Linked DNA regions of Xenopus tropicalis. The protein of the gene in region 1 binds, or shares a complex with, the protein of each later gene. Links are inferred from orthologs where the notes say so. Each region holds a gene or a part of one and is shown on either strand. Other genes may lie near its edges.

Region 1 (7,536 bases):
CATCTTCTCAATCGTAGGCACTTCATCTGCAGCCTGAGGATAAGAACTGCCTCGTTGCTCGTTCCAAATGTTTCCTAAAACTTGGGGATCCGGAATGTGCCCTGAAGGACGCAGAGACCTCTCTACAGATCGAAAAAGATTTCTTCAAGGTAACAGCAGCCTTTATTGATTTCTTTACGACTGATAATACATCTCATACCTATATAAAAACAACAATTTAACCCATCCATTTAGTTCACTTAAACATCTTCTGCTTTTCTGCAATAGCAATAAAAATCTACTCTCTGTATGCCCTGCCCAGTAAAATGGGTTGTTCACCTTCAAAATAACTTTTAGTATGATGTAGAGAGCGCTGTACTGAGACAATTTGCAATTGGTCTTCATTTTTTTATTGTTTGCCATTTAATTGTTTAGCAGCTCTCCAGTTTGGAATTTCAGCAGCCATCTGGTTGCTAGGGTCAAATTTAAACTAGATACCAGACAGTGGTTTGAAAGAGAGACAGGTATATGAATAGAGGAGGGCCTAGATAGGAGGATAAGTTACAGTAAAACTGTAGCCTCACAGACAGCGTTGGACTGGGTCGCTGGGCTACTGGGAAAAATCCCCGTGGGCCCCCGGCCCTAGTGGGATCCGATCACCCCCAGGGCGCTCCCACTGTCTCCCTCACCCCAAGCGCCACAGGTAAGTTTCTTTTAGGAGCACTCAAGGGTGTTGGGGGCCTCTGTGGGGGGGAAGGGGGGGGTGAAGGCGGCAGGGGCCATTGGAGGGTGCAGGGACCCCTGAGGCAGAAGCCCCGGTGGGCCCTGCATCCCCCAGTCTGACCCTGCTCACAGACCAATAGTTTTTGGCTGCTGGGGTCAGTGATCCCCATTTAAAAGCTGAAAAGAGTCAGAAGAGGAATAACTAAAAAACGAAGAAAATGAAGACCAATTGAAAAGTTGCTAAGAATAGGCCATTCTCTAACATACTAAAAGTTAACCTGAAGGTGAATCATTGTATGCTTGTATATATTGGATCTGTCCAGTATGCACGCTGTTGTTTAACTATAACTCCCAGCATGTAATGAGAAAGCTTACTGTAAGCAATGTGCTTTAATAGGTGTTACCCACTATTCTGCCATTTAATTCCACACTGTTTTTTTATTCACTTTTAGGGTCTTTACCAGAAGGCGGAGGCACTCTATTCTATGGGAGACTTTGAATTTGCCCTTGTGCATTACCACAGAGGGTACAAGCTGCGGCCAGAATTTCAGGGATTCCGCCTGGGGATTCAAAAGGCGCAGGAAGCAATAGAGAACTCTGTTGGAAGTGAGTCGTTTCTGGCTGTGCTGTCTTATCCAGTTTGTCCCTTGTATTTCACCATTTATGCATGTATGTATACAGATATATAGATACACTTGCATATATTCTTTTACTGATATTTCTCTTTTCCCCATAGCTCCTGCCAGTGTTAAACTTCAAAATAAAGCAGACTTGCAGTTCATAAGCAGACAGGAGGAGGTAAAATGCTTTCTTTGTACAATGGTTTCTATTTGATATATTGCCTGCCACAGACATTTAAATATGAAGTGAATATGGAATATGATGTAGCTTGGGAGAAAGAAATGTATGATCATCTCCCATGTTTATGTGTATGCCACAGTCTGTGTTATGTCCTCATAAAGGCCAGCCTGGCTTATAAGAAAGTTTTACTTTACCTTGAAAGGCTAGCTGGGACTTACCATGTTTACAGATTTCTTCCTCTGAAGTTACCCTAATAGCGGCCATACACAGGCAGATTGTTAGCTTTTTCGTCTCCTTCAGTCCGAGTTGGCAGCTTATCTGCCCATGTATGGGGCACTCCGGTGGGTCTACCCGACCTATTTCTGGCTGAAAATCAGGCAGAATTCAATTGGACAGGTTTAAAAATCTCTCAAGTGATGATCTCATCAGCTCATTGGGCCTGTATCCCTGACCTTGTGATTCGATCATTTGGCCAGAGGCTATTACAGGTGCCGGACCCCTTATCCGGAAACCCGTTATCCAGAAAGCTCCGAATTACGGAATGCCCATCTCCCATAGACTCCATTTTAATCAAATAATTCAGAATTTTAAAACTGATTTTCTTTTTCTATGTAGAAATAAAACAGAACCTTGTAATTGATTCCAACTAAGATATAAATAATCCTTATTGGATGCAAAACAATCCTATTGGGTTTAATTAATGTTTTATTGATTTTTTAGTACTCTTAAGGTATGGAGATCCAAATTACGGAAAGACCCCTTATCCGGAATACCCTTGGTCCCGAGCATTCTGGATAATGGGTCCTATACCTGTACAATGTGGATCGTTCAAGTTATGGCCCACTTAAGGTGGCCATACACAGGCAGATAACAGCTGCTGATTTGGGTCCTTCACACTGATTCGGCAGTTTATCTGCCCGTGTATGGGCACCCCCGATGGGCCTACCTGACCAACAACTGGCCTAAAATTGGGCAGATCTCAATCAGGCAGGCATTTTTCCTTCGGATCTAGGACCGCATCGGCTTGTTGATTGACTTGTTTGACCATTTGGCCACCTTAGGTGGGCATGAGAAGATCGGGAAAAGATCTGCTTGTTTGGCAACCTTGTCAAATGAGTAGATCACACCATGTATGGCCACCTTATATATGTTGTTGGGAGCCTTTGATGCCATTTGACCTCTGTTTATTAGCACTTAGATACCAGAGCTATTGTATTATTAATAGCTAACGTACTCTCCAAAGTGTACCCTACAGCCTTACCTAACTACCTCCACTGCTACAAAGAAGTATATATATATATATATAGTAATGGAGATAGAACTTTTTGCAAGAGCATGGTACTAGTACATGATACATGTTATTGAGGCTGAAATAAACACCAAAGGCTACATTGTTTATAATTTAATTTACTTCAGAGCAAGAAAGCTAAGCAGAAGGCTCAGGTGAAGGTGCAGAAGAAGGATACAAAACAGCAGAAGAAAGTAGATCCTGAGAGGAGCCAGAAGACAGCGCGCCAGCTCCTCGGAGAGCTGTACAGTGATAAGGAGTATCTGGAATCATTATTAAGGGATGAAGGTAGGTAGTTAAATGAATTTAGTATTCTTATTCAGGTGCCCTCATTATGATGTAAGCGCCTGCTTTAAAGGAGGAGAAACGCGCAAATCACTGGGTGTGCCAAATGTAAGGCTCCCCGTCCCCAGTGATTATAGGAAAAAAGAAGGAGCAGAAGAAGAGGATTGTGCCGTGGTGTTTACTGAAAAGTACCCAGGGCTGGTGCAGTTTTCTGCTAACAGAAACACCGGCTCAGGGTATCAGGGAAGTGATTAACATTTGGACTTTAAGGTGCCGATCTGTGGAGCAAGATGCTCTGAAAATCTGGCCAATTAAAGGTGCCCATACACGTTAAGTTTCGTTCGCTTGGCGAGATCGCCAAGCGAGCAGATCTTCACCCGATATCCCCACCTACGGGTGGGCAATATCGGGGAGCGTGTAGGCTAATTCAATCGTTTGGCCCTGGGGCCAAACCATCAAATTATATTGGCGGAAATGGGGCAGTCGGTTTGTGGTCCGCATCAACGAGCCGAATTTTCTAACCTGCCCGATTGATATCTGGCCAATTTCAGGCCAGATATCGGTCGGGCTGGCCCCTCGTTTCTGCCCCTACATGGGCCGATAAGCTGCTGAATCGGTCCAAGGGACCCATATCGACAGCTACAGTATGGGGACCTTTAGACTTTTTTACCTGACAATATCTTCTTGTATGGCTTCCTAGGATAATGTTTTATCAGACTGTTCTCTGATCCTATCGCAGTGTTGTCTGTTTGGACATGACTTTACTAATCTGAAATACTTAAAAGGTAGATCTAGGGGACAGTAGATAAAGCCCCTGGCTGCTGATGCATGCTATTGGCACATGTCAGGGACACCGGAAATAGCAGAGCTTGTGTAGTCCAGCAGCCGGACACTCAGATTAATGCAATCTTGCCATTAACATGTGTGGACAAATCACAAAACAAAGTTCTTAGGTTTCTTTTTCTGATATTTTTATTTCCATATTCCATCTATTTTTTTGTAATGACAAGCTATAAGGGTTCATTTAAATGCCCCACACAGGGTGCAGACAGGGGCGCACAAGTGCTTCCCAAATGAGAACCAAGGGGCGCAATTTTGCCCCCCAGGGATGGATAAATTCTATGCATCCATAGCTTAAAGGGGTCCTCCACCTAAAAACTTTTTTTTTTTTTGTATAGTGGAAGAAAGTGTAATTTCAAGCAACTAAGCAGTCTGGGCTGAAATAGAGCTTATATGTTCAGGTAACACCTGTGCTGCAAAACAGTAAAAGCAGTGATGATACTTGGTTTGACCACAAGATGGCACTATGTAGCCATATACATAAAGTGTTCATCAGAATTATTGTGTTATATCCAAGTATTTTCCAGCACAAGGCATTTTTTTATTGAAGGCAAAACAGTAAAGAAGAAACAAAACCCGTAAGCATAACCATACAAATATAACATTATATTCAATAAGGAATTATAGTGAATAACAGTTTTTCATCTAAAACATAGAAAGTTATCACCACAAACATTTCCCATCAACGAAAGAAAGTCACATGGTATTACCATACAATAAGGAACTTTATGGGTAAATCCATTTTAACTGCAGAATTATATCAGCATAAATTCAGCTAACTCAGTGGCAGTGGTGTAACAATAGTGCGCTGGGCCCACCCACAAAAGATTTTTGGAGGGGCCCATTGTGCACAGCAGCCCAGCCTTCCCTCCACCCACCCTGCATGTAACCCCTGCTCCCTGGCTGCTCATGCTGGGGTAGGTAAGGGAGCGGCTGGGGAGGGGGGCATTCTAAAAACTATTGAGGAAGCAGACCCTGTGATCCAGGCCCACGGGCCCCCTGGCCTATGCACAAATGACACTTGGGCAAAGTACAAAATACTGGTATAAAGAGCCCTATTTGGGAGTGCAAAGAATGACGCAGGCTTCTATATTATTATTATTATCATTATTTATATAGTGCCATCAATTTACGCAGTGCTTTACAGAATAGAGGGGTACAAAAGACATAACAGTTAACATATACATATAAACAATTCACAAAAATGGTTTGCAGTTACATTGGATGAGGATCAGAGACACTAGGGGGAGGGCCCTGCTCGCAAGAGCTTACATTCTAAAAGAATGTATGTTTCTGTATGGCATCCTCCATAATGTTCACATCATACAGGCAAAAGCAGCAGAGGATGCTGGGAGGAAGGCAGTGAGTCAAGTACGAGGCCCCCTTGCGTCCGTGCATATTGCGCTCTGCATCTCATCGCAGATATTGTCATTGTTCCAAAATCCAACGCAACCAATTAACAAGGATCATTCCAGTGCAGTCATAGGAACACCACTGTTGCTATGGGTTACTGGACAGCAACCCCTTTCCCTTTTATACTTCCCTTATTCATGCAGGTGTTTTGTGTCAGTAGCAGCTCTGAACAATCACCATCCTGTAGTACTTCTATGAAAGCTATTTCACAGCATAATGAAATATTAAAATGATGGTGTTTTTTGCACCATTTTTCAGTTGCCGTACACATTTTCCAGACCCTTGCACACTGCGCCGGGGCAGGAAAATACATAGAAACAATATGTTCAGCTTATCAGATCCTTGCAGAGCGGCTGCATCAAACGCTGAATGAGCCAATAGAGATCCAGTGACAGTGAGTCTGGCAGCACCTGGCACAGGGGTTTCTGGGAATGTGCAAAAAACAGCACGGGTTGTGATACAGACCCTTTATTGTAAATAACAGGAATGGGATAGGATCACTTAAAGTGACAACATTTTCCACATATGTATACAGCTCTGACCCCTTAGGGTGAAGACACACAGAGCTACTAGTAGCAGCTACTTGTTGTGGCTACTAAAACAGATAATGTTGATCATTTACTGATAATTGTCTCTACGTGTGTTTAGCAGAGGCAATTCTCAGTATTGTCTATGGCAGGGGATTTTCTAGAGTTTAGTAGCCGTGACAAGTAGCTGCTACTAAGTAGCTCTGTGTGTCTTCCCCCTTAGGCTGATGTTAGCAAGTTAGTCACCTGCGATAGATCATACAAAGTTTTGTCCTGCAGGCAACTTTGCGCAACTTCACAAAGCCAAAGTGATGCTTGGACCATTCGTATTGTTGCCAGTGGAAAGGCATCTTGGAGCGGTTAGTTGCCCGCGGTTCAGAGATCTATCACTGGTGACCAACTCACTCCGTGGGCCATCAGCCATCGGCCTTCACAGATTAACTTCTAGTATGATGTAGATAATCTGAGAAAATCTGCAATTCGTTTTCACTTTTTATTTTTTGTAGTTTTTCAGTTATGTAGCTTTTTGTTCGGTGGCTCTCCAGTTTGGAATTTCAGCAGCTATCCTGTTGCTAGGGTCTTGTTTACCTTAGCAACCAGGCAGTGGCTTGAATGAGAGACTGGAATAGGAGAAGGGGTGAATAGAAAGATAAGGAATAAAAAGTAACAATAATAATACAATTGGCAGCTTACAGAGCCCCATAGTGACGCTACTTATAATGGCAGCTGCGGTCTTAAACAAACAGAGAAAGCTTCTAGGGCTCTTTACTCAGGTATGGCAATGATTTCTGAAGAATAAATATAGTGTTCTAGGTGGCACTAATGTGGCTAATCTATTGGCAGTAAAATGACTTTCCTTCTCCTCTATAAAGCAGTTTATTCTTTCCCATATTCTTAAGTCTGTGGCCTTGTCTCTTTGCTGCAGCTTTAGTGAATGGAAACACACGGAGTGGGGTCAAACTGCATGACCTGATCATTAATGGAATCCTCTACCTGGACACCCGCACGGAGTTCTGGAGGCAGCAGAAGCCCATCTACGCGCGGGAGAGGGACCGCAAGATCATGCAGCAGAAGTGGAAGCGGGATAAAAACACGCCTGCCGACCCTAGCCAATACATTGTAAAGAGCCTGGAGGAAATAGATCAGCGTAAGGAATAATAACATTAACCATGCAACATAGTTGGCAGGTCATGTTGAACCTCCACCCAAACACAACTTAAACTTTTTTAAAAGTAAACATAATTTCAAGCAACTTTGCAATATACATCAATTAAACAATATGCAGCCTTTTCATGATGTTTAATGTAATAATCTGGTTTGGAACAGTTCCCTAAGCCCCGCCTCCTGTTCCCCTGCTGGTCTGGCTGACTCCTCCCAATCCCACAATTCCCTGCTGCACACGTGATGTCAATAAGGAACATCCCAGTGCAATGCATTGTGGGTTATGTAGTTCCTGCATGCTGTCTGTAAGCTGGGGAGAAGTTGTTACAATGTGTAACATCAGTGTTTTAGTCCCTCCTCCCCTGCCAGGATTACAAATGATGCAGAAGGAACAGATTACAGGGATAGGGATATTAGGGGTTTCTGTGTTGTGTGGGGCTGTGTAACAAGTTCCCCTTTAACCCTTTACTCAGTATTCCAGCTGTGCCAAACCCTTGATGTGTTTTCTTTGCGTTTAGC
Region 2 (6,207 bases), on another chromosome or scaffold:
AAATCTTGCATGCACTGGAATGTGCAGTGTGTTTTCAGTGCCATCTGAGTTTCACACCTCATGTATTAAATGCCAGATGATGTTGAACATTTTGTGCTCTTTTTTTAGTTTACTTAGGAAAACTATATGGTCATTTACTAAATGGAAGGCAGTTTTGCAAAGTGCAAAAAAAACACTGCAGTCTTTCATTAGTTTTGCACTTTGCACAACACCTTTTTTGCTACTTGAATGGCTGCAGGGCTCTGCAAATGTCCTTGCAGCAAGTTGCCTGTAAAACAATATTCATTAAATGTACAGGATCCGTTATCCGTAAACCCATTATGCTGAAAGTTCCGAGTTAGGGAAAGGCCGTCTCCCATAGACTCCGTTATAAGCAAATAATTCTAATTTTTTAAAATGATTTCCTTTTTTCCTGTAATAATAAAACACTACCTTTTACTCGATCCCAACTATGATATAAGCAATCCTTATTGGAGGCAAAATGATTCTATTGGGTTTCTTCAATATTTCAATGATATTTTTAGCAGACTTAAGGTATGGAGATACAAATTATGGAAAGATCCCTTATCCAGAAAACCTCAGGTCCCAAGCATTCTGGATAATAGGTCCCATACCTGTACTTGCATCCAGGTGTTAGCTCCTGGGTTCCTTCAGGGCCCTGAGTCAACAGATGCAGCAAACTTGGGGTTAAAGAAATGCTTAGACAGCATTCACAGGCTGAATATCAGAACTGATGCCAGGCAGTCTGCAAATATATATTGGCGTAACTGTGGCAAAGTACACACGCATTTGCATCCATTTTGATAATTGGGGCGCATTTGTGCCGGATACAGTGCAAATGATGTGAAGTTGCATCTAATTCAAAGCCCACATTAGGCTTGCAGGATTCTTGGAAAAAGCAGTACATTGTGGGAAAACATGGCTATTGCATTCAAAGTATGGTTGAATTTTGACATGATCTGCTCAACTAAAATTTTGTTTCAGTATTACACTATATATCTTTAATTTGCAGTTAGTAAGAATGAAGTGGAGAGCCTCATCCGCCTTTATCATACTTTGGTGGGACGACCCATTGATCCTAATACAAGGCGTGGCATTGACCGAAACACTTTCAGAAATATCCTGCACAATACATTTGGCATGACAGATGATATGATCATGGACAGAGGTGGGAGACTTTTATCTGAGTGAATTTCAAAGAATCAGTTGTTGAATCTTTTGACATGGCCTTAACTTCTTTATCTTCTAGTGTTTCGAGGATTTGACAAAGATAATGACAGCTACATCAGTGTTACAGAATGGGTGGAAGGCCTGTCCGTATTTTTACGTGGGACTCTAGAAGAAAGGATAAAATGTAAGAAGTTTTTATATGATACATGGATACACAAGCTCATATATTGATACAGTATTTGCAGTATTGATCAAAATGTATTATCAGCATTTTACCTTTGTAACCAGCAGCACTGTGGGAAATATATCTCCTATTTTTCTTATTTACGGAACAGATTATTATAAACAATGGAGGCATATTAAGGCGGCTTCAGAGATCTTGGACATGCTGGAGGGTAAAAAGCCAGAGAGCCACATGTGACTCATTGGGCCCCCAATGGGACAGTCCTGTTTTAAACATATAAAAAATAAATACCATTACAAATCTCCCATTTAGAGATCTAAAGCCACAAACTTGTGTTAACCTGGATATAGCTAGTCTTATGCCCAACCCAACCCTTGATGGTATCTTCATACCCATGATCTGCGCCCCCCCCCCACAGGACATCTTTTTTTTGCGAGCAGCTGGAGGGCCCTGAGGGGGTGTGCACCCTCCACACCCCTGGTTGTTCCTCCACTGGCTATAGGCTAATCCACAAACACATTGTTACAGAGAAGCAATGGAAACACTGGAGAAGTGGATCTGAAGCGCATATACGCACTGTGTGCCCTCACCCTTGGAGACTGTGCCTTAAAAATCTTTGCCTTTACAATAATATGCAAAGTTTTTCCCTACACATCAAGCTGATTAGCTAGCTTTACTTAAAATAAACTGTGTATTTGCAGGGTGGCAAGTGAAAATATTTTACATTTTTTTGCTGTATTAAATTACTAAACTAAGAGTTGGGCAAAGCTTTTTCTAATATCTTCCTTTTACAAAATCGTGATCCCTTTTCATAGATTGTTTTGGTGTTTATGACCTGAATGGTGATGGCTATATCTCCAGAGAAGAGATGTTCCACATGTTAAAGAACAGCCTACTGAAGCAGCCAAGTGAGGAAGATCCTGATGAAGGTGTAAAGGACTTGGTTGAAATAGCATTAAAAAAGATGGTAAATGTCATTTCTAATATTCCAGCATATAAGCAACAGTCTGTGGATTCACTGACCAGTAGTTTCAGAGTGACTACTGACCACATAATTTAGTTTTTTTTTGTAACATATGCAATTAGTCAGTCCATTTTGTAAAATCCAGCTGCACATGCATAATACAACTTAAATGATTCACAGCCAATCAGCCCTTTGAATCTCTTCTGAAATGATTCCCCATCCAAGGACTGCATGCCCTATAAATTCTGATGGCAACCTGCAAAATAGGTTTTGTGTGATAAGTTCACAGTAAGTGTCCTGTATATGTAGCTTTTTTTTTTCCTTGTACTCTGCAACAGGCGAGAAAAAGAAGACTATTGTAATAACATCTATGGTTATGTTCATGTCTGGACTCACCCTGGCTTTTCAACTAAAGTGATGCCCAAACAGCCCCCACAGGCCCAATAAATAGTGGATGTCTATGGCAGTATATAGCATCTGCACTGACATATGTCAAGTTATACAGATTGTCAGTCTGGGCCTTTATTATCAGCAGACAGGCATTCAGGTAATCATTTAACCTGTGACTGATAAATTGCATTAAGTTGTGTGCTTAAATGCTTTGGAACCCTTAAACTACCAGCAGTCTGGGCCTGGCAGGAATTCCAGGGATCACCAAGTGCTGCCTGTCTATGGATCTTTATTAAAAGAAAAATGTAGTTCTTTAGCACAGAAAGCTAAAATTGTGTCTGATAATTTATCTCTCTATAAAGAATAAGGGTATAGCATATTCTGTGTGCACAACATGGGTTAGCTGCATTTATGGGGGAAGCTGCCATACTTATTACAATGCTGTGTAGGAAATATTACAGGAAGTAGGGCAAAAATTCTCCTCTTATATATGGAAATAAATGCTATTGCAATAAGGCATGTTGGAAAAGCAGTAATCCATCAGTTTTTTTTATAGGATTATGACCACGACAGCAAATTGTCCTATATGGATTTTGAAAAGGCTGTACAAGAAGAAAATCTTCTGCTAGAAGCATTTGGGCCTTGTCTTCCAGATAGCAAAGTAAGAAAATTCTCTGAACTCCTTATTTGTTTTATAGGGATAGACATATAGACATATGGACATATGTATAGACATATAGACATATGTATAGACAGCTAGGACAACCAATAAAGGAATAACCACATAAAAGAATATAACAGACAATTGGACACCTGTGTGATCAGCACAATGGACTTAACTTGTGTACTAGTGCAGTTTGACCTTTTAATGTGTGGCCAAATCTATGTGTCCAGTTTGACCCTTTTTTGCCAAGAAAGTTAAACCTACGTGCTGGTAGAAAAAGGCTCAAACTGCCATAAATGTATGTTTTAACAGCACTGACTTTTTTTTTAAAAGGTTGTCCCTAAGAGATCTTATGCCCTCCAGTTGTCTTAAATTATTAGAAAGTGTTAGTGATTTAGAATAAACAACCACTTTATAAAACCATGTGCAGTCTATTGCAGGATATATGGTTTCATATATGGACCTTCTCTTTCTCTTTCATGACCACAATTAGCTGTCAATAGTGTGCAGTTACCCATAGCAACCAATTAGCAATTAATTTTGATCAGTCTGGTTAAGGTGGCCATACACAGGCAGATTTCAGCTGCTGATTCAGGTCCTTCAGACTGATTCAGCAGCTTATCTTCCCGTGTATGGGCACCCCCAAAGGTCCTACCCGACCAATATCTGGCCTAAAATTGGCCAGATCTCAATCTTTAATTTTCCCATCAGATGGAGGACCACTGGCTCGTTGATGTGGTCCTCAGTCCAACTGCCCATATACCAATCTTTTTATTCAATAATTAGGGCCAAATGATCAAATTTGCCTGATGTTGCCAACCTTAGGTGGGCACACTGGGAGAAGATCCACTCGTTTGGTGACCTCGCAGGAGTTGTGTCAAACTGCCCATTTTTGCTAAGATTTGGTATTATAGTTTGGCCAATATACTGCCCAACCATTTGGGCATATATGTCCTGTCATTCTGCCCTCAAAACAATAATCCACGGTCCTGGTGGATTGAAGATTATTGTCCCTGACAAAAAAATTCCTTCGGTCAGGGTAAAAGAAGTGAAGAGCAGCAGCAGATAAAAAGTGGCAAAATTACAATTTTAAGCTAACTTAAATGTTAATTGAATTGACTATTCTAGGGCACTCACAGATTAAATGATTATTGCTTGGAAATGTGTTTATCCCAATGACAGAAGCCTGACCCACTAGTACTATTTAAGTCAATGGAGGGGCAAACCCAAGCATTATTGCACCCAGCAAAGTGAAAATTGCACAGGTGTCAAAATGTTGGGATTTATGCCATGTGCCATTGCTTGTAACTTTTCTAAAAAAATTTAAAGCGCTTTGTAAATTTTAACCCTTTTTTTCCTGTCACATAAATCATATATTATGTGGCAGAAACTATTTTATTTTGTGTACAGGATTTAATAGGATTACAAATAAAATTGTATTTCATAATTTAATTACAGTATCATCACTTTAACAGTGGTAAACTCTGCTGCCTGAATTTTGATATAGGCACTATGGGGGTTATTTAATAAAAGGCACTAAGTTTGCCCAGGAGCAGTAACCCATAGCTGCCAATCAGCAGGTAGAATTTACTGATCACCTGTTTAAAAGCAAACATCTTATTGGTTGCTACGGGTTACTGGTACTGGGCACAGTTAGTGCCTTTTATTACATATGGGGGGTATTTGTATTAGTTTTCTCTGTGTACACTGGTTTCCACCCATACGGGAAAAGTGAATTGGCTTCTAAAGAAATTAACCCTATATGCGTTGTGTAAGTGGGCTCTTTAAATTCAAGCTCCAAGGCCAAGGACTAGTGTGAATGAAAAATAACATCTGTATGAGTTACTTAACGATGGTGGTATTGGAAATAATAAAGGATAATTAATAATATTTTTTTTTTCTTCCAGTGCATTATGGCCTTTGAAAAACAAGCTTTTACAGAGATCAATGATATATAGAAATGATGTGCAAATAGTACTGCAATCACCTTGACTACGTACGGGAATGAATAGAGCTGGTCCATCAGAACTGGAAATGATCTGTACAGTGTACAACACATTCTCTGATACAAGCATCCCACAATTTACTAAAGTCTGTAAAAAAGGAACATGTATGTCCAATCTGCATCTGTGGTTGGACAGACTTCAGCTGTCTGAATATTACATAAGCTGGGGGGGCTGCACTGAAATCCAGTGACCACTCACACTTGTAAGACTGTATTCAGTTTATAAACTTTTAATGACATATTAAAGTGGACCTGTCACCCAGACATTAAAAGCTGTATAATAAAAGCCCTTTTCAAATTAAATGTGTAACCCAAAGTAATTTTTTTATTAACATATCCAAACCCATTATATAAGCATTTAAAAGTCCCAGCTGTCAGTCATATATTGCCTGACCTGCCTCTATAGGTGGCCATACACGTGGCGATCCGACGATGTTTCGTACGACCATCGGTCGCACGAAACATCGTAAGATCCGCCACACACCATTCAGGGCTGAATCGGCAGGTAAGGAGGTAGAAACAATAGGATTTCTACCTCCTTCTGCCGATTCAGCTCTGAAGGGAGAATTTTGGTCAGGCGCCTTCTATGGCGCCCGATCAAAATTTTCAAACTTGTCCGATCGGCGAGTCGTCCGATATCGGCAGCTTCCTGCGATATCGGTCGACTCGCCGACATGCCATACACGCACCGATTATCGTACGAAACGAGGTTTCGTACGATAATATCGGTGCGTGTATGGCCACCTTATGCCTTAGGCATAGGGGTGGGGCAGACAGATACTTTCAATTCAGAACTCCTTAGATGTCACTGCACTCCTCACATTCCCCCT
Region 3 (7,536 bases), on another chromosome or scaffold:
TCCACAGAACAGGAGTCCCTTCTCTCAATGCTCTCTTTCTATCTCTGCAGGAGGAAAGCCTGACATTTCAGACTCAGCTGGATCTCATAGAGGCTGAGATCATAAAGCAGAGAAGTGAGCTGAAGGAGCTTCAGAAGATGAACAGAGATGCTGTGCAAGCACGGGATGAGGCGCGGGTACGAGGGACAGGGAGTCCTTTACTTCTAGAAATATCCCTATATAGTAGGGATGCACCAAATCCACTTTTTTCGGATTCGGCCGAACCCCGAATCCTTGGTAAAAGATTCAGCCGAATATTGAACTGAATCTGAATGCTAATTAGATCATGGAAGGGTTAAAGGTTGTGCGGCAAAAACTTCCATGTTTACGTGACAAAAAAATCAGATGCTTTTTAGAATTCGGGTTTGGTTTGGCCAGGAGCATGGATTCGGCGGAATCCTGCTGAAAAAGGCAAAATCTTGGCCAAATCCCAAAACGAATCCATGATTCGAAGCATCCCTACTATATAGTATAGTTACTATAGTTCGTGTGCATTGAGCGCTGGGTATTTATGGTATGCTCTTTTACCTTCTGGTTGACAGACTGACCTTCAGCAGCAGGAAGAAGAAGTTACAAGAGAAAGAAGGGAAAGAGAGCGCACCCTTCAGAATTACAAAAAGCAAGCGGAAGAGAGACGTATTCATGCTGAGCGCGTGGAAAGAAGGGTAAGGTTTTGATTCCCTACCCCACCCAAAGAGCTTTACCCCATATCTCTCCCTCATAATGACTCTGCCAATCTCTGTGCCCAAACCCAGAGACACAAAGAATCTCCCAGGTTAGTGAATACTGTTCATCTGGGTGCAAGTTGCACTAAGCATGGAAGGCATGTGGGAGTGTGGGCACTTGTGTGCTACTCTGAGGGCAAGCGCCAGTTTCTAAATGTGATTGCTATTAATGCAGTATCTGTCTGACTCCTGAAACAATGTAGCAGAAGCCAACTGATTAATGTGAAGAAGCATACAAAGCATTGTGGGACTTTTTGGCTGGAGGACAGCTGACTATTGCTACATTGGTTCAAGTTGAGGCATTAAGTAAAGGGTTCTCTTGTGCCTTTCGCCCCCACCCCCAGCAATGCTGCTTGGTGCATGCTGAATAATGTCAAGGTAGGACATGCCAGGAACACCCAACTCTTTTCCATGTGAAATTTATCAGGGAGAGAGAAAAGCACAACTCTTGCACTATTCTAAGCACCACTTGGAGGTGACTGTGCATAGTGGGCAGAAATCATAGTGCCATGCACGTTTTGGTTTTGCTCCTTTCCACTTGTTGATAAATGAGACCATAGGCATGGCCCTGTCATCATGTTACTCTCTGTTATCCATTTTGGATCCTGGCTGTTCTGATGAAATGTGAAATTGTGATGCTTTTATAGGCTCAGCGAGTGGCCTTGCCTGGAGACGATGCTACAGTGGACACTCAACAGACGCCAAGTGGAGAAGATGAAGAAAAGGTGATACGCACCTTCCAGGAAGCCTTTCAGAGGATAAAGGAAGCCACTGGCGTGACAGATACTCAGGTGAGGGGGCTGTCAGTAATACGTGGTATATACCACAGTGCTCTCACGTTTCTCATTGAGATCAAAGCAATCCTGGGACATTAGCCATGTGACATACAATAGAGTGCCCTGGAGGCTGAATGCCTGGTTGGGACACGTGTCTTGCAGCACTACCGAGGTTTCACCCCATGTTCCCCCTATAACCCTGCAGGAGATTGTGAGGCGCTTCATAGCCCAGGGAGAAACTAGCAAACACTTGGAGGAACTAAAGATTGAGAATGAAAGGACACTGGTGAGGCTGAAAGAGCAGAAGGAGAAACTGGAGGAGGAATTCCGTAACCAGAAGTACTCTGGGGAAGCCAAATTGTCCAGGTATATATGTTTCCTTGTGACCACTGAGAGTGGTCTTATGTGGTCATGGAAATCCTCAGTCACATCATTGCATCTGCAGAAAGGTTTGCTAGCAGAGCTGTAGAACCATCTCACTTAATGCTTGTTTGGGCCATCATCCTGAACAGAGGGAACTATGTTCTATATTTAGCCATATGTGCTGGCCATACATGTAAAGAGCACAAGGTCACCAATGGAGCGGACCTGTTCCCAATATGCCCACCCCTGTGATTGCCCAGATTGCACCATTGAAGGCGCCCAAGCAAAATTTTCAGGACTGAATTGGCAGGTGGAGGTAGAATTTCTATTGTTTTTACCTCCATATCTGACAATTCAGCCCTGAACGTCAGTGGAGGGTAGGAACGATCGTTATTGCTACGTGTATGGCTGCTGAATTGGTCTGGAGTGGCTGACTGGGGTCTGTTGTTAATATAAGGCCTATGTGTATGGCCACCTTAAGGGTGAAGACACACAGAGCTACCAGTAGCAGCTACTTGTCAAGGCTACAAAAAAAGACAATGCTGATAATTTACTGATAATTGTCTCTTTGTGTGTTTTAGCAGAGGCAATTCTCAGTATTGTCTATGGCAGGGGATTTTCCAGCATTTAGTAGCCGTGACAAGTAGCTGCTACTAATTAGCTCCGTGTGTCTTCACCCTAACTGTAATGCCTAGAGCCACATAATATCTCTCATCATTTACTTTGTTCCATAATAGAGGGCAGCAGGATCTGGAAGAGCTGCAGAGTCACCTCCAGAAAGAAGAGAAAAGGTGTGAGAAAACCAAAGAGGAACTAGAACAAATGTCCAAAATTCTGAATGAGACCAAAGCTGGAGTGGAACATCTAGCAAGCAAAGTCAAGCACATCAAGGTGGTGAGTACTAGGTTGATGCAATACAGGAAATGTATTCAGTGCTGATTGGCTGCCATCCTACAGTGTACATTGCTGAGAGCTGCAGGTTTTCCTGAACAGCCTGGGAAAGCGGCCAACAGAAAGTGGAATGGCTGACTGGTGCCAGGGGAAATTTTTAGGGATGCATTGAGCTCCCGGTTTATTCCAGAATTCTCGGCACTCTTTGCATATTCCAGGACCCAAACTCTTTAGCCAGAGTCAGAACCTTTTAGACTCACATGACCTTACAGCTGTGGACTACTGACAATTTTTTTCACAACCTATGAATTTTTTTAAAGTTTTCCAAATCGGAGGCTGGTTAGCCTCCTTGCAGACCTGGACTGGGATTTAAAATAGGACCTGGTATTTTAAGTTCAGTTAGGCCCAAACCAGCCCGATAAATAGTGAGTGTCTATGGCACCTTAGAGCAGCCCCTCTGGCATTTGCCTGAACCCACAGATTGCCAGTCTGGGCCTGATTTTCAGTACACAGAGGCCCAAACAGCCCCCCATAGGCCCAATAAATAGTGACTGTCTATGGCATCTTACAGCAGCCCCTCTGGCATTTGCCTGAACCCACAGATTGCCAGTCTGGGCCTGATTTTCAGTACACAGAGGCCCAAACAGCCCCCCATAGGCCCAATGAATAGTGACTGTCTATGGCATCTTACAGCAGCCCCTCTGGCATTTGCCTGAACCCACAGATTGCCAGTCTGGGCCTGATTTTCAGTACACAGAGGCCCAAACAGCCCCCCATAGGCCCAATAAATAGTGAGTGTCTATGGCACCTTACAGCAGCCCCTCTGGCATTTGCCTGAACCCACAGATTGGCAGTCTGGGCCTGCTTCCTTGGTAGTGCTAAATTCCTGGAGACAGCCTGTACTAAAAGTCAAAGTTAGTTTTAGGCCCAAGAGCATCCTCGGAGCAGATTCCCAGGACTCTCGTGGGGAGCTGGGTATCATTCTTGGCTGCACAGTACAACCATATTATGATTAATCTCTTCACCATTTTAGCCAAAGGTCTATTTTCCTGCTCTGGATGGTTCTCCATTGTCAGATGAGCAAGTCCTTGACCTAATGGGCATCACTGAGGAGAAGTTGCAGAAGCTTCTGGAAGAGCTGGAGGGGCAGGATCTGGGACAGATTATCAAACAAATGGATGAAGAAGAGGTGAGTAAAAGAGAAAGTAATGGTTCTGAAGCGCACAGCCCACTGGGCCTGTGTTTTTTGCACCTTGCATGAGTAATGCGCCCTATGTGTAGGTAAGGAATGAACATTACTCCTATTGATTTTGGTGATTTCTAATGGCTTTGTGCATCATGAAGGGGGAGAGTACCATGGCTGGTACTTAACTGTTTGATGCTGGGAGTGCGCCTAAAGGGGCATAGATTTGCATTCATTTATGCGCTATATTATAATCCCAATATTCTCAGTTCCAGGCAAGCATTGAGGGCAAACTGCCAGCGCACAACATACGAATTTCCCTTCCAGCTCCATCCAAGCAGGACATGTTTGAAGGTAAGTGTTCCTGGCACTAACTTTAGCAATACAAAACCATTACAAAGCACATGGTTGGGTAGCTGGGAGGGGTAGTAGCGAACCAATTTAAAAAAAAAAAAAGCAGTCTGTACAAAATGTTCTTGATATCCATGTGTGTGTTTCTTTCACTGATTCGGTTATACCATGTGTGCAAGAGGGTGAACAGACATTTACTTTCACTTTTTAGGGCTGATTTGATAGTAATTGAGAATAAATGGGCAGAGGGTTCGGCATAGGTATATGGGTAGGAATTGCTGCATGGTTGGATTAGTGTAGGATTGGAACAGGCAGTGAGAAGTCTGATAGCTACAGGTATAGGGGATCTGGAAGACTGACACATAGCTGGTACAAGAGACCGGAAATCTGATAGTGGCAGAACTGGTACAGGGGACAGGGAGGCTGATAGCTGCATGGTTGGTACAGGGAACAGGGAGGCTGATAGCTGCATGGCTGTTACATGGAACAGGGAGGCTGATAGCTGTATTGTTGGTACAGGGGACAGGGAGGCTGATAGCTGCATGGTTCGTACAGGGAACAGGGAGGCTGATAGCTGCATGGTTGGTACATGGAACAGGGAGGCTGATAGCTGCATGGTTGGTACAGGGGACAGGGAGGCTGATAGCTGCATGGCTGGTACAGGGGACATGGAGGCTGATAGCTGCATGGTTGGTACAGGGGACAGGGAGGCTGATAGCTGCATGGTTGGTACAAAGGGCAGGGAGGCTGATAGCTGCATGGTTGGTACATGGAACAGGGAGGCTGATAGCTGCATGGTTGGTACAGGGGACAGGGAGGCTGATAGCTGCATGGCTGGTACAGGGGACAGGGAGGCTGATAGCTGCATGGTTGGTACAGGGGACAGGGAGGCCGATAGCTGTATGGTTGGTACAGGGGACAGGGAGGCTGATAGCTGCATGGTTGGTACAGAGGACAGGGAGGCTGATAGCTGCATGGCTGGTACATGGAACAGGGAGGCTGATAGCTGCATGGTTGGTACAGGGGACAGGGAGGCTGATAGCTGCATGGCTGGTACAGGGGACAGGGAGGCTGATAGCTGCATGGTTGGTACAGGGGACAGGGAGGCTGATAGCTGCATGGTTGGTACAAAGGGCAGGGAGGCTGATAGCTGCATGGCTGGTACATGGAACAGGGAGGCTGATAGCTGCATGGTTGGTACAGGGGACAGGGAGGCTGATAGCTGCATGGCTGGTACAGGGGACAGGGAGGCTGATAGCTGCATGGCTGGTACAGGGGACAGGGAGGCTGATAGCTGCATGGCTGGTACAGGGGACAGGGAGGCTGATAGCTGCATGGCTGGTACAGGGGACAGGGAGGCTGATAGCTGCATGGCTGGTACAGGGGACAGGGAGGCTGATAGCTGCATGGCTGGTACAGGGGACAGGGAGGCTGATAGCTGCATGGCTGGTACAGGGGACATGGAGGCTGATAGCTGCATGGTTGGTACAGGGGACAGGGAGGCTGATAGCTGCATGGCTGGTACAGGGGACAGGGAGGCTGATAGCTGCATGGCTGGTACAGGGGACAGGGAGGCTGATAGCTGCATGGCTGGTACAGGGGACAGGGAGGCTGATAGCTGCATGGCTGGTACAGGGGACAGGGAGGCTGATAGCTGCATGGCTGGTACAGGGGACATGGAGGCTGATAGCTGCATGGTTGGTACAGGGGACAGGGAGGCTGATAGCTGCATGGCTGGTACAGGGGACAGGGAGGCTGATAGCTGCATGGCTGGTAAAGGGGACAGGGAGGTGGGTAGGTGCAGGCGACAGGGAGGTTGGTAGCTGCATGGTGATTGACACCATTAGGGTTAGTATAGGGGACAGGGGACAGGGAGGTGGGTAGGAGCACATATTCTGACTAAAGTGGCATGCATTGTACAGGGCTTCAATGTCTCCACACAAGGGTGGGCTCAAAGAATGCAGGAAATGTATAACTTGGCATACAGAGGGCAGATACCCTTCCAGGTGTTGGCAGTAGGCAAATCACAGCACAGGATAGAATACCTTCTAAGTTCTACTTAGCAATTCGCTAAGAATATCTAACCCTGGAAGCCACTAGTCACTTCCTTCCATCCCGCTTCCTGTTACGATGACGTAAGCCTCCATTGTCTCCCTCACTGCAGATGAAGAGGACAGCGGAGAAGATGAAGGTGATGTGGTGACACGAGCAACCTTAAAGAGACAGTCCCAGCAAATCATTGAATCGAAAACAAAGAGGAGAACCCGCCCCAAGAAGAAAAAGGGCAAGCAGTGATGGACCCTCCTACCAACCCCTCACCGGTCTCTGTTCTACAGAGGCTCCCACCATTATCTCAGAGATACAAGCTCAGCTGTAGTGCTAGGCCCCAGCCTATCTGGGACACCCCTAACTGTATCTGTGCCCTCTTTATAACACCCAGAATTCCCTGTACTCATCATCTGATTCTAAATATCTTACATACATACAACAGGCTCAATCCTGCAAAGTGCCCCTTTAAAATTAAATAACCCTTTTCCCTTTGTCTTTATAATAAAATAATCTTGTGGTTCCTCCGTTAAAGTAGCAAACTTTTCTGTTTGTCCCAATTGCCTCCGGATTTGTACCTTTCTCTGTTTGCTCTGTTCCTCCGTGTGCATCCCCATTACATTCCAGATAGGACTTGGAGGCTTCGCACAGAACAGAGGGTCAGGGACTTGCATGTCGTGACGTTGGAGGGAGCAGCAGGATTGTGGGAACAGCGGGTGATGACGCCAACCAGAGATCTGTCTGACTGTGATTCTGTGACCTTTCTGTTTTGTGTGTTACAAATAAAAACACATTTCCCCAGAGCCTGCAGAACTGTACTGCCTCATTACCTCTGCCATCTTATTGTCCTATAAACCTTTCTTTATTGTCCCTGTAACTCCTTATTCCAGTAACCCCGCCCCTGAGTGCCTTATTGTCCTTGTAACTCCTTATTCCAGTAACCCCGCCCCTGAGTGCCTTATTGTCCCTGTAACTCCTTATTCCAGTAACCCCGCCCCTGAGTGCCTTATTGTCCCTGTAACTCCTTATTCCAGTAACCCCGCCCCTGAGTGCCTTATTGTCCCTGTAACTCCTTATTCCAGTAACCCCGCCCCTGAGTGCCTTATTGTCCCTGTAACTCCTTATTCCAGTAACCCCGCCCCTGAGTGCCTTATTGCCCCTG

Evidence for each region.
Region 2: ttc25 (region 1) and efcab1 share a complex: the UniProt entries of both Homo sapiens proteins name them as parts of the outer dynein arm-docking complex. The link is inferred for Xenopus tropicalis from reciprocal best matches to the Homo sapiens genes ODAD4 and CLXN.
Region 3: ttc25 (region 1) and ccdc151 share a complex: the UniProt entries of both Homo sapiens proteins name them as parts of the outer dynein arm-docking complex. The link is inferred for Xenopus tropicalis from reciprocal best matches to the Homo sapiens genes ODAD4 and ODAD3.

Annotation. Positions count from the first base shown.
Region 1 is NC_030686.2:7,203,722-7,211,257, reverse strand, and holds part of ttc25 (tetratricopeptide repeat protein 25), read left to right. Parts: intron 1-17; coding exon 18-149; intron 150-1,154; coding exon 1,155-1,308; intron 1,309-1,438; coding exon 1,439-1,500; intron 1,501-2,919; coding exon 2,920-3,079; intron 3,080-6,781; coding exon 6,782-7,003; intron 7,004-7,536. UniProt on the Homo sapiens protein: Component of the outer dynein arm-docking complex (ODA-DC) that mediates outer dynein arms (ODA) binding onto the doublet microtubule. Plays an essential role for the assembly of ODA-DC and for the docking of ODA in ciliary axoneme.
Region 2 is NC_030682.2:51,310,049-51,316,255, forward strand, and holds the end of efcab1 (EF-hand calcium-binding domain-containing protein 1), read left to right. Parts: intron 1-1,012; coding exon 1,013-1,168; intron 1,169-1,249; coding exon 1,250-1,354; intron 1,355-2,169; coding exon 2,170-2,321; intron 2,322-3,264; coding exon 3,265-3,369; intron 3,370-5,279; coding exon 5,280-5,330; 3' UTR 5,331-5,680; downstream 5,681-6,207. UniProt on the Homo sapiens protein: Component of the outer dynein arm-docking complex (ODA-DC) that mediates outer dynein arms (ODA) binding onto the doublet microtubule. Seems to regulate the assembly of both ODAs and their axonemal docking complex onto ciliary microtubules.
Region 3 is NC_030679.2:139,189,565-139,197,100, reverse strand, and holds the end of ccdc151 (coiled-coil domain-containing protein 151), read left to right. Parts: intron 1-50; coding exon 51-176; intron 177-581; coding exon 582-704; intron 705-1,411; coding exon 1,412-1,555; intron 1,556-1,745; coding exon 1,746-1,906; intron 1,907-2,640; coding exon 2,641-2,797; intron 2,798-3,827; coding exon 3,828-3,983; intron 3,984-4,246; coding exon 4,247-4,331; intron 4,332-6,492; coding exon 6,493-6,623; 3' UTR 6,624-7,177; downstream 7,178-7,536. UniProt on the Homo sapiens protein: Component of the outer dynein arm-docking complex (ODA-DC) that mediates outer dynein arms (ODA) binding onto the doublet microtubule. Involved in mediating assembly of both ODAs and their axonemal docking complex onto ciliary microtubules.